Linked DNA regions of Oryctolagus cuniculus. The main gene of each other region encodes a partner of the protein of the gene in region 2 in a complex. Links are inferred from orthologs where the notes say so. Each region holds a gene or a part of one and is shown on either strand. Other genes may lie near its edges.

The links.
Region 1: the proteins of GNAO1 (region 2) and C3AR1 are in contact, whole or in part, in a cryo-EM structure (PDB 8I95), measured with the Homo sapiens proteins. The link is inferred for Oryctolagus cuniculus from reciprocal best matches to the Homo sapiens genes GNAO1 and C3AR1. Residues at the interface, in NP_066268.1 of Homo sapiens: Ile28, Ala31, Lys32, Asp33, Val34, Asn194, Leu195, Ser264, Asn316, Glu318, Tyr320, Asp341, Ile342, Ile343, Ile344, Ala345, Asn347, Leu348, Arg349, Gly350, Cys351, Gly352, Leu353, Tyr354; in NP_001313404.1 of Homo sapiens: Asn57, Asp119, Arg120, Val123, Val124, Pro127, Ile128, Gln131, Asn132, Arg134, Asn135, Tyr356, Ile359, Arg362, Gly366, Arg367, Phe368, Ser371, Lys374, Thr375, Val378, Leu438.

What each region holds. Positions count from the first base shown.
Region 1 is NC_091440.1:101,922,757-101,926,832, reverse strand, and holds the start of C3AR1 (C3a anaphylatoxin chemotactic receptor), read left to right. Parts: upstream 1-1,167; 5' UTR 1,168-1,311; coding exon 1,312-1,352; intron 1,353-1,581; coding exon 1,582-3,034; 3' UTR 3,035-4,076.
Region 2 is NC_091449.1:40,103,872-40,108,022, reverse strand, and holds the start of GNAO1 (guanine nucleotide-binding protein G(o) subunit alpha), read right to left. Parts: upstream 2,933-4,151; 5' UTR 2,842-2,932; coding exon 2,368-2,841; intron 1-2,367. UniProt on the Homo sapiens protein: Guanine nucleotide-binding proteins (G proteins) function as transducers downstream of G protein-coupled receptors (GPCRs) in numerous signaling cascades.

The sequences.
Region 1 (4,076 bases), on a different chromosome or scaffold from region 2:
TGGTTCACTCTGACAAATGCCCAGCGCTGGTGCTGGACCGGGACCAAAGCTCAGTCAGGAACGCATTCCACCTTTCCCACACGAGTGGCCAAAACCCGAATAGCTGAGCCATCACCGCTGCCTCCCAGTAGCTTCATTAGCGGAAGCTGGAATCAGGAGCCAAAACATAGAACCCCGGTACTCCTATGTGGAATGCAGGTGTCTTTTTTTTTTTTTTTTTTTTCAGGCAGAGTGGACAGTGAGAGAGAGAGAGAGACAGAGAGAAAGATCTTCCTTTGCCGTTGGTTCACCCTCCAATGGCCGCTGCAGCTGGCGCACCGAGCTGATCCGAAGCCAGAAGCCAGGTGCTTCTCCTGGTCTCCCATGGGGTGCAGGGCCCAAGCACTTGGGCCATCCTCCACTGCACTCCTAGGCCACAGCAGAGAGCTGGACAGGAAGAGGAGTGACCGGGACAGAATCCAGCGCCCCGACTGGGACTAGAACCCGGTGTGCCGGCGCCACAGGCAGAGAATTAGCCTATTGAGGCGTGGTGCCGGCCACAGGTGTCTTAACTACTGGGCTAAACCCCTGCTCTTGTTTAGTAGGGGCCATTGCATGAGGAAAAGAACCAATGAAAATATGGAAGATTGAAAATACAAGAAAAAGAGAAATTCACACTGATACATTTTATGGACTTCTAAATAAGGTTATCTTTATTTATTTATTTATTTATTTTTATTTGACAGGTAGAGTTACAGACAGTGAGAGAGACAGAGAGAAAGGTCTTCCTTCCATTGGTTCACTCCCCAAATGGCACTATGGCTGGTGCTGCGCCAATCCAAAGCCAGGAGCCAGGTGCTTCCTCCTGGTCTCCCACGCGGGTGCAGGGCCAAGCACCTGGGCCATCCTCCACTGCCTTCCCGGACCACAGCAGAGAGCTGGACTGGAAGAGGAGCAACCGAGACTAGAACCCGGTGCCCATATGGGATGCCAGCGCCACAGGCAGAGGATTAACCAATTGAGCCACGGCGCCAGCCCCCAAGGTTATCATTTTGATAGACACTTAAATCTATCCAAACAGATCTTACAAATTTTGATTGCATTTTAGTTTATTATTTTTCACATTATTTGAAATGGAGAGAGAAAGAGGAGACAGAGAAAGAGATCTTCCATCCTCTGGTTCACTTCTCAAATGCCCACAACATCCAAGACCAGCCCATGTTGAAGTCAGGAGCTCAGAATTCAACCCAGATCTCCCACAGAAGTGGCAGGGACCCAAGTACTTGAGCCATCACTTGCTGCCTCCCAAGGTGAACCCTGGCAGGAAACTGGATGAGAAAGAGAGAAGCCAGGACCTCTGACATAGGATGCAGGTATCTCAAGGGACAATTTAACTGCTGTGCCAAATGCATGCTCCCCAAATTGTCTAACAAAGAATGTTTCTGTGTGTTCCAGTGTGAGGCCAAGAAATGCAAACTAAAACAGTGTGCAGGCTCTCTGCCTTTGTGTTTCCCCATCACCCATGTGACGGTTAGACGTCTAGGAATACGCATTTTTTAAAAGCTATTGTTAGTGTTAACATTTCTTTTTATCTTCTTGCAGCAGATTAGCCATGGAATCTTTCTCCGCTGAGACCAATTCCACTGAATTATTCTCACAGCCTTTGGATAACCCCCTCATGATTCTCTCTATGGTCCTTCTCAGCCTCACTTTTTTATTAGGGCTGCCAGGAAATGGACTGGTGTTATGGGTGGCTGGCCTGAAGATGCAGCGGACGGTGACCACGGTTTGGTTTCTCCATCTCACAGTGGCAGACTTTATCTGTTGCCTCTCCTTGCCCCTCTCCCTGGCTCACTTGGTTCTCAACGGATACTGGCCCTATGGCTGGTTCCTTTGCAAGCTCATCCCCTCCGTCGTTATCCTCAACATGTTTGCCAGCGTCTTCCTGCTCACAGCCATTAGCCTGGACCGCTGTCTCGTGGTCTTCAAGCCAATCTGGTGCCAGAATCATCGCACTGTCAAGACAGCCTTGACTATCTGTGGGTGCATCTGGGTGATGGCCTTTATAATGTGCATTCCTGTGTTTGTGTACCGGGAAACGTTCACCTCACATGGCCATGAAATGTGTGGCTACAATTTTGATCTCTACAGCTCACTAGATTATTCAGACTTCCCCTTTGATCTCGATTTCCTGGAAAACGGGTCTTTTTACAACTCCATTGTTCAGCTGCCAGGAGACATGGATATTGGGTTAGATCCTTCCTCTATCCAAACAGATGAGCAACTGTGGACAGCAACCATGGACCTCCATTCTCAAACATTTCAAGGACCTTTGAGAGACTCATTCCCCACAAGATTATCTCATCAACCTCCACGTGATAATTTATTCAAGCCTACCAGTGTCGTTCCACCTACAGTTCCCAATGGGTTTCCCACTGAAGAGCATGGAACTAACCCACTGGATCATTCTGGTGCTTTCCTGCCTACTGACTTAGAACTTCTTCCTAGTACTTCTGGACATTCTTTATATGCATCTGAACTATCGCAAGATCTCCAGTATGATTATTTAGATCAATATAAACATGTCAGTCAACCCCTGCTGGTAATAACCTTCACAAGGTTAGTGATCGGTTTCCTACTGCCCTTTGTCATCATGGTGACCTGTTATACTTTCATTGCCTGCAGAATGAAGCAGGGTCGCTTTGCTAAGTCAGGGAGCAAAACCATTCGCTTGGCCATGGTGGTGGTGACTGTGTTTTTTGTCTGCTGGGCTCCATATCACATGGTTGGAGTCCTGTTATTGTTTTTTGATTCAGAAACTCCCTTTGGGGAAACACTGGTGGCCTGGGACCATCTATCCATTGCTTTAGCATCTGCCAATAGTTGCTTCAATCCCTTCCTTTATGCCCTCTTGGGGAAAGATTTCAGGAAGAAAGCAAGGCAGTCCTTGCAGGGCATTCTGGAGGTGGCCTTCAACGAGGAGCTCACACACTCCACCAGCTATACCCGAAACAAGGCCTTTTCAGAAAGGAGCACCATCAGCACAACTGTGTGAAAATCTGGAGCAGAGGTTCTGACCTAGCGGGAGACATTCCCCACAAGATTATCTCGTCAACCTCCACGTGATAATTTATTTAAGCCTACCAGCATCGTTCCACCTGCAGGATGAGGGACATGGTGGACAGAAGAATGTGGAAACCTTCAGTCGAGTATGGTCTCCAAGTATGGTCCTGGACCACTGCCCTCAGCATCACCCGGAAAGTTGTTAGAAATGCAAATTCGCAAGCCCTATCACAGACCTGTCGAATCAGAATCTCTAGGGGATGGGGCCTGGTAGGGGTTTTAACAGGCTTTCATGTTTCTGATTAACACATAATCTGAGAAGCATTTCTACCTCAAACTAAGCCATGTGAGATAAATGAAAATCAAATCTGTTTTTTAATATTTCCATCATTACATTTTTTCCTTAATATCATCTAAACCCCCTTCTAGATTAAATTTAAAACAGCAGGGGATGGTCCAAATGCTTGGGCCCTTGCTGTCTCTGTGGATGGAGTTCCTGCCTCCTGATTTCAGGCTGGTCCAGAGCTGGCTGTTGCCATTTTGAGAATGATCCAGCAGATGGACAATCTCTCTCTCTCTCTCTGTCTCTATCACTCTGCTTTCAAATAAATAAATCTTCTTAGAATACCACCAAAAAATTTTAATTATTAGAAGTATCTTTCAGGGCCAGTGCCGTGGCATGGTAGGTTAATTCTCTGCCTGTGGCACTGGCATCCCATAGGGGTGCCAGTTCTAGTCCTGGCTGCCCCTCTTCCAATCCAGCTCTCTGCTACGGCCTGGGAAAGCAGTGGAAGATGGCCCAAGTGCTTGGATCCCTGCACCCATGTGGGAGACCAGAAAGAAGCTCCTGGCTCCTGGCTTCGAATCAGCGCAGCTCCAGCTGTTGCAGCCACCTGAGGAGTGAACCAATGGAAGGAAGACCTTTCTCTCTCTCTCCCTCTAACTGTCTATAACTCTTCCTCTCAAATAAATAAATAAAATCTTAAAAAAAAAAAAAGAAGTATCTTTCATGCCAAAATTACCAGATGTATCTT
Region 2 (4,151 bases):
TGTTACTCTGCCTTTTAAAATAATAACAATAGAGCTCTACAAGGTACCAGGATGCACTTTGCACCAAAGCCATACCACATGTGTGTGTGAGTGTGTATGTGTGTGTGTGTGTATGTGTGTACATAATAAAACGACTGGATGAATTCCTACTGACTCCTCTGTGACCTGTGGCCCACCCTCTGGGAGGGGCTGTAGCAGAACTGCTTTAGGTACACTGTGCAGGCAAGGACAGCACTGGGCCTGCAGGAAAGGCTCTGCATAATCCACGGGCTTCTTCTCCCTTCCCCTCATGTTTTCAGCGGCTGTAAGTAAACCTGCTGGAGACTCACAAGGCTCTGGGGGAAGTCACACAGCTGCCATCTCTGGCACTTGCACACACACACGGCACTTCACGGTTCAAAAAGGGCTTCTGGGCACAAACATTCTGCTTCCTTTTTTAAATTTGAAAGAGTTAAAGGGAGAGGGGGAGGGAGGGAGGGAGAGACAGAGAGAGATATCGTCCATCTACTGGTTCACTCCCCAGATGGCCACAACAGCCAGGACCTTCTTCCGGGTCTCCCACGTGGGTGGCAAGGAGCCCAAGCTCTTGGGCCATCTTCCACTGCTTTTCCCAGGCCATTAGCAGGGAGCTGGGTGGGAAGTGGAGCAGCCCACATGGGACGCCGGCCTCACAGGCGGTAGCCTTCCTGGCTGTGCCACAGCGCCAGCCCCACATTCCGCTTCCTCACTAGGGAGCTGGCAGCTGCAGCAATGGGCATGTTTCTTCAGCCCTCTCTGAATCTCTGCAGGTGCACTCCCTAGAGGCAGAGGGTGTTCCCATCTCCTTGACTCTGAGGATAGTCACAGGCCTTGCCGTGGCCCACGGAACGGCGTGGGGGCAGCAGCTTGTCCCTAAGGCAGCCCTGGGGTCTCCGTGTACTCGGGGCCTATATCATCATTGTGAACCTGCCCAGCCTTCCCCATTCACCCCAGAAAGAGGAGCTGGGGTGCATGGCACAGAGCTGAACCCACCCTGGGTCTTTGATCCTCAGCTGAATCAGTGACTCAGTTTGGGGAGGCCTGTTAGCATTGCCGCAGCAGTGCCAAGCACTCTAAGTACGTAATCCCCATTTGATAGGTGGGGAGCCTCGGAGCTCCAGAGAGGAAGGCACTCGGCTAAGGCCACGGTGCGACTGGCAGAGCTGGCACTCGAGACTCAGAGCCTTCTGCCTCCACGGCCGCCGCTGGGGGCAGAGCTATGCGTGCTGAGAGCAGTCAGGGCCCACACCTCTGATGGCAATGACACCTGATGGAGGAGCTGGGAGTGGGGCGGCAGGCCCTCTGGGGTGGAGGTGTTGTCCTCGGGCTGGGTGCAGTGGTTATCACTGGACGATTGGTCCACTGCGAGCCCGCCGATGAAGGCCGAGGAGAGGCAGACTACACGGCCCAGGACACGAGTGGGAGGTACTGAAAACCCACAGGCCTTTTTTGAGGGCGGGAGAGACACAAAGGGAGGGAAGTCAGCAGGCGTGTGGTCAGCAGGTTTCCGTATCGAAGGGGTGGGGCAAAGCCCTCTAGGCCTGCTGGCCACACAGCCACTCAGGTGGAGGGTCTGTCCACGGCACAGGGTCAGTGGAAGGGTTGTGGCAGTGGTGCCCCTGCCTGCCCAGGGAAGGAAGTTGCCCCTGGCCTGGAGGCTGGCCAGACACGCCAACCCTGCTCACTCAAATCCGGTTCCCTGGGGACAGCGTCCTGAATGCCCAGCCCTTGGGTTCCCAAGTCACCCCCAGCTGACAATGCGGGGCTGCCCAACGAGACAGCCTGGCTCCCCAGGGTCAGCACTGGGCTGCTGAGTGCCTGCCCTGGCGGTGGTGACCTGAAAGGTGGCCGTGGGGCCTGGGCTCTGGGTGCCTCAGGGAGGCAGTGGTGACTCAGGGAGGCGTGGGCTGGAGAGCAGGGGTGGGGCCTGCACCTGGGGCTAGGAACAGAGCGAGGCCTGTGAGTCAGGGCACTGCCCCCACCCTGCCCCCCGGTGCCTGGCTGACCTCGGGCAGTCTGGTGCTGTCCCAGGCCAGAGACTCGGCCAAGTCTTCCAAGCTTCCTCCTGGGGCCCCGCTGTCAGGGTCTCGGGCAGCCCAGTTAGAAGGCGGCAGCATCCAAGTGCCAGGGGAGAAACACCCCCCGCTGGGCACCCCAGAGCCATGGTGCTACGGGGGCAGTGTGGTTCTCTCTTCAACTCTGTGCTTTCTGCTCCTGGGCTCGCTCCTTGAGGGGCGACTGGAATGGATGCCCTCCACGGTGGGGGGGGGGGGGCGGGGGGAGCTGCATTTGATGATTCCTGGACTCTGCCGCCCAGCCCGTGGGCCAGAGCCCTCCTCCCTGCCTCACCTCCTCATTGCCCTGTGCAGGGGCCGGGGCGTGGTCCTGTGCGGCAGCACCCTTCGGCTTCCTGTTTTGCTCCTCATCTGGCGGCACCGCTACGGGCCCAGCTTCTGGAACCCATAGGCCTGGAGCCCTGCCGGACCGATCCGCCTTGAAGCCTCCCAGGTCCGGGGTGTGGTGCCTCCGTCCTGCCTCTCTTCTGTTTCCCGCCAGGCCAGAGGCTGTCGGTTTCCTCCTAACATCAACTCTCCCCTTCTCCTTCCGGACAAGAAGCCCAAGAAGGAAACACACTGATGGCCACAGACTACATTTCCCGTTTTGCAGCGGGGCGTCCTTGGGACTGGTTCTGTGCAATGAGATGTACGCTGAAAGGCAGCGACGGGTTTTAAAGGGAAGGGGCACCCTATTTCTCTTACTTCCTCCTCCTAACGCCCAGAACTTGGGTGTGATGGCTGGAGCTCTCCAGCCGACTTGCATCATGAAGACAAGGTCCGATCCTAGGGAGAGTGGGACAAGGATCTCCAACCAGCCTGGCTGGAGGAGGTGCGGCACTATCTGGAGTCAGACCGGCATTATTTTAACGGTTTTTCTTTTGTCCACTTAAATTTCTATCTTCAGCTCTCTGCTGTGGCCAGGGAGTGCAGTGGAGGATGGCCCAAGTGGTTGGGCCCTGTACCCCATGGGAGACCAGGAGAAGCACCTGGCTCCTGCCTTCGGATCAGCGCGGTGTGCCGGCCGCAGCGCGCTGGCCATGGCGGCCATTGGAGGGTGAACCAACGGCAAAGGAAGACCTTTCTCTCTGTCTCTCTCTCTCACTGTCCACTCTGCCTGTCAAAAAAAAAAATTCTATCTTCTCAAAGCCGCTATTTTCAGGGTCTCTGGTTCACTGTCAAACCTAACCCTCATGGGTACAGTAATACTCCTGCTTAAATTCTTCCGATAGGTTCCCATCATTCCTAACTCGCAAACTCCTCACTGAGGCCTTACGAAGTCCCTGCCTCTTTCTGTGTCCTAAAACCCTCTCAGAGCTCCGGTCCTTCTTCCGCTCCCCAAACGAGCCGGGGCAGCCCCAGCCCACCTCCCTCTCAGCGTCCCCTTCTCAGCGAAGCCCTCCCCTGGCCCCAGGCCAAGCTGCTCCACAGGGTGCACCCATTCCTGTCCCAGCTGCTGCTGCTTGCACCTGTCCTCAGGGCAGGGACTGTGTCCCGACCTCACGTGGCACCTTGGGCCTTGCAGTGCTTTGTGCATGGCCAGGGCAAACAGATCTCCTGCACTGTAAGGCCAGGCACGCCCCACTTTCTGACTCCGCCGCCCCCATCTGTCCACTGCCTCTTCTTATCTTGTCGGTCTGGACAAAGCTGGCATCTCACTTCAACATCGCAGCCGCCCTACTGGGGTGGGCACCCTGTGTGCGTGGGTGACTCGCTCAGGGTCACACAGCTAGTCAACAGGAGGGCCTGGACTCAAAGTCCACCTTCTCCCCGGCATCCCGAGCCACAGCCCTGGGCTTGTGTCTCAGACAAGGCCTGGTCACCCGAGGCCAGCACTGAGGCCTCCCTGGCGCTCAGCCCAGCCCCTTGAGCAAGGGGGAGGGAGGCTTGGAAGGGAAGGGGGGCTTTAGTGCCCAGCCTAACAAGCAATGGACAGAACCAGAGGAGGCCTTCGTCCCCCCCCCCCTATCTGCATGCCTCGGGGCCAGGGCTCCTGCTGAGCTCGGCCTTCCCATCCCGAGCGCCTCCTGGGCCAATAGCAGGGGGTGTTTCCCAGCATCCTCCCTGCTACAGCCCCTG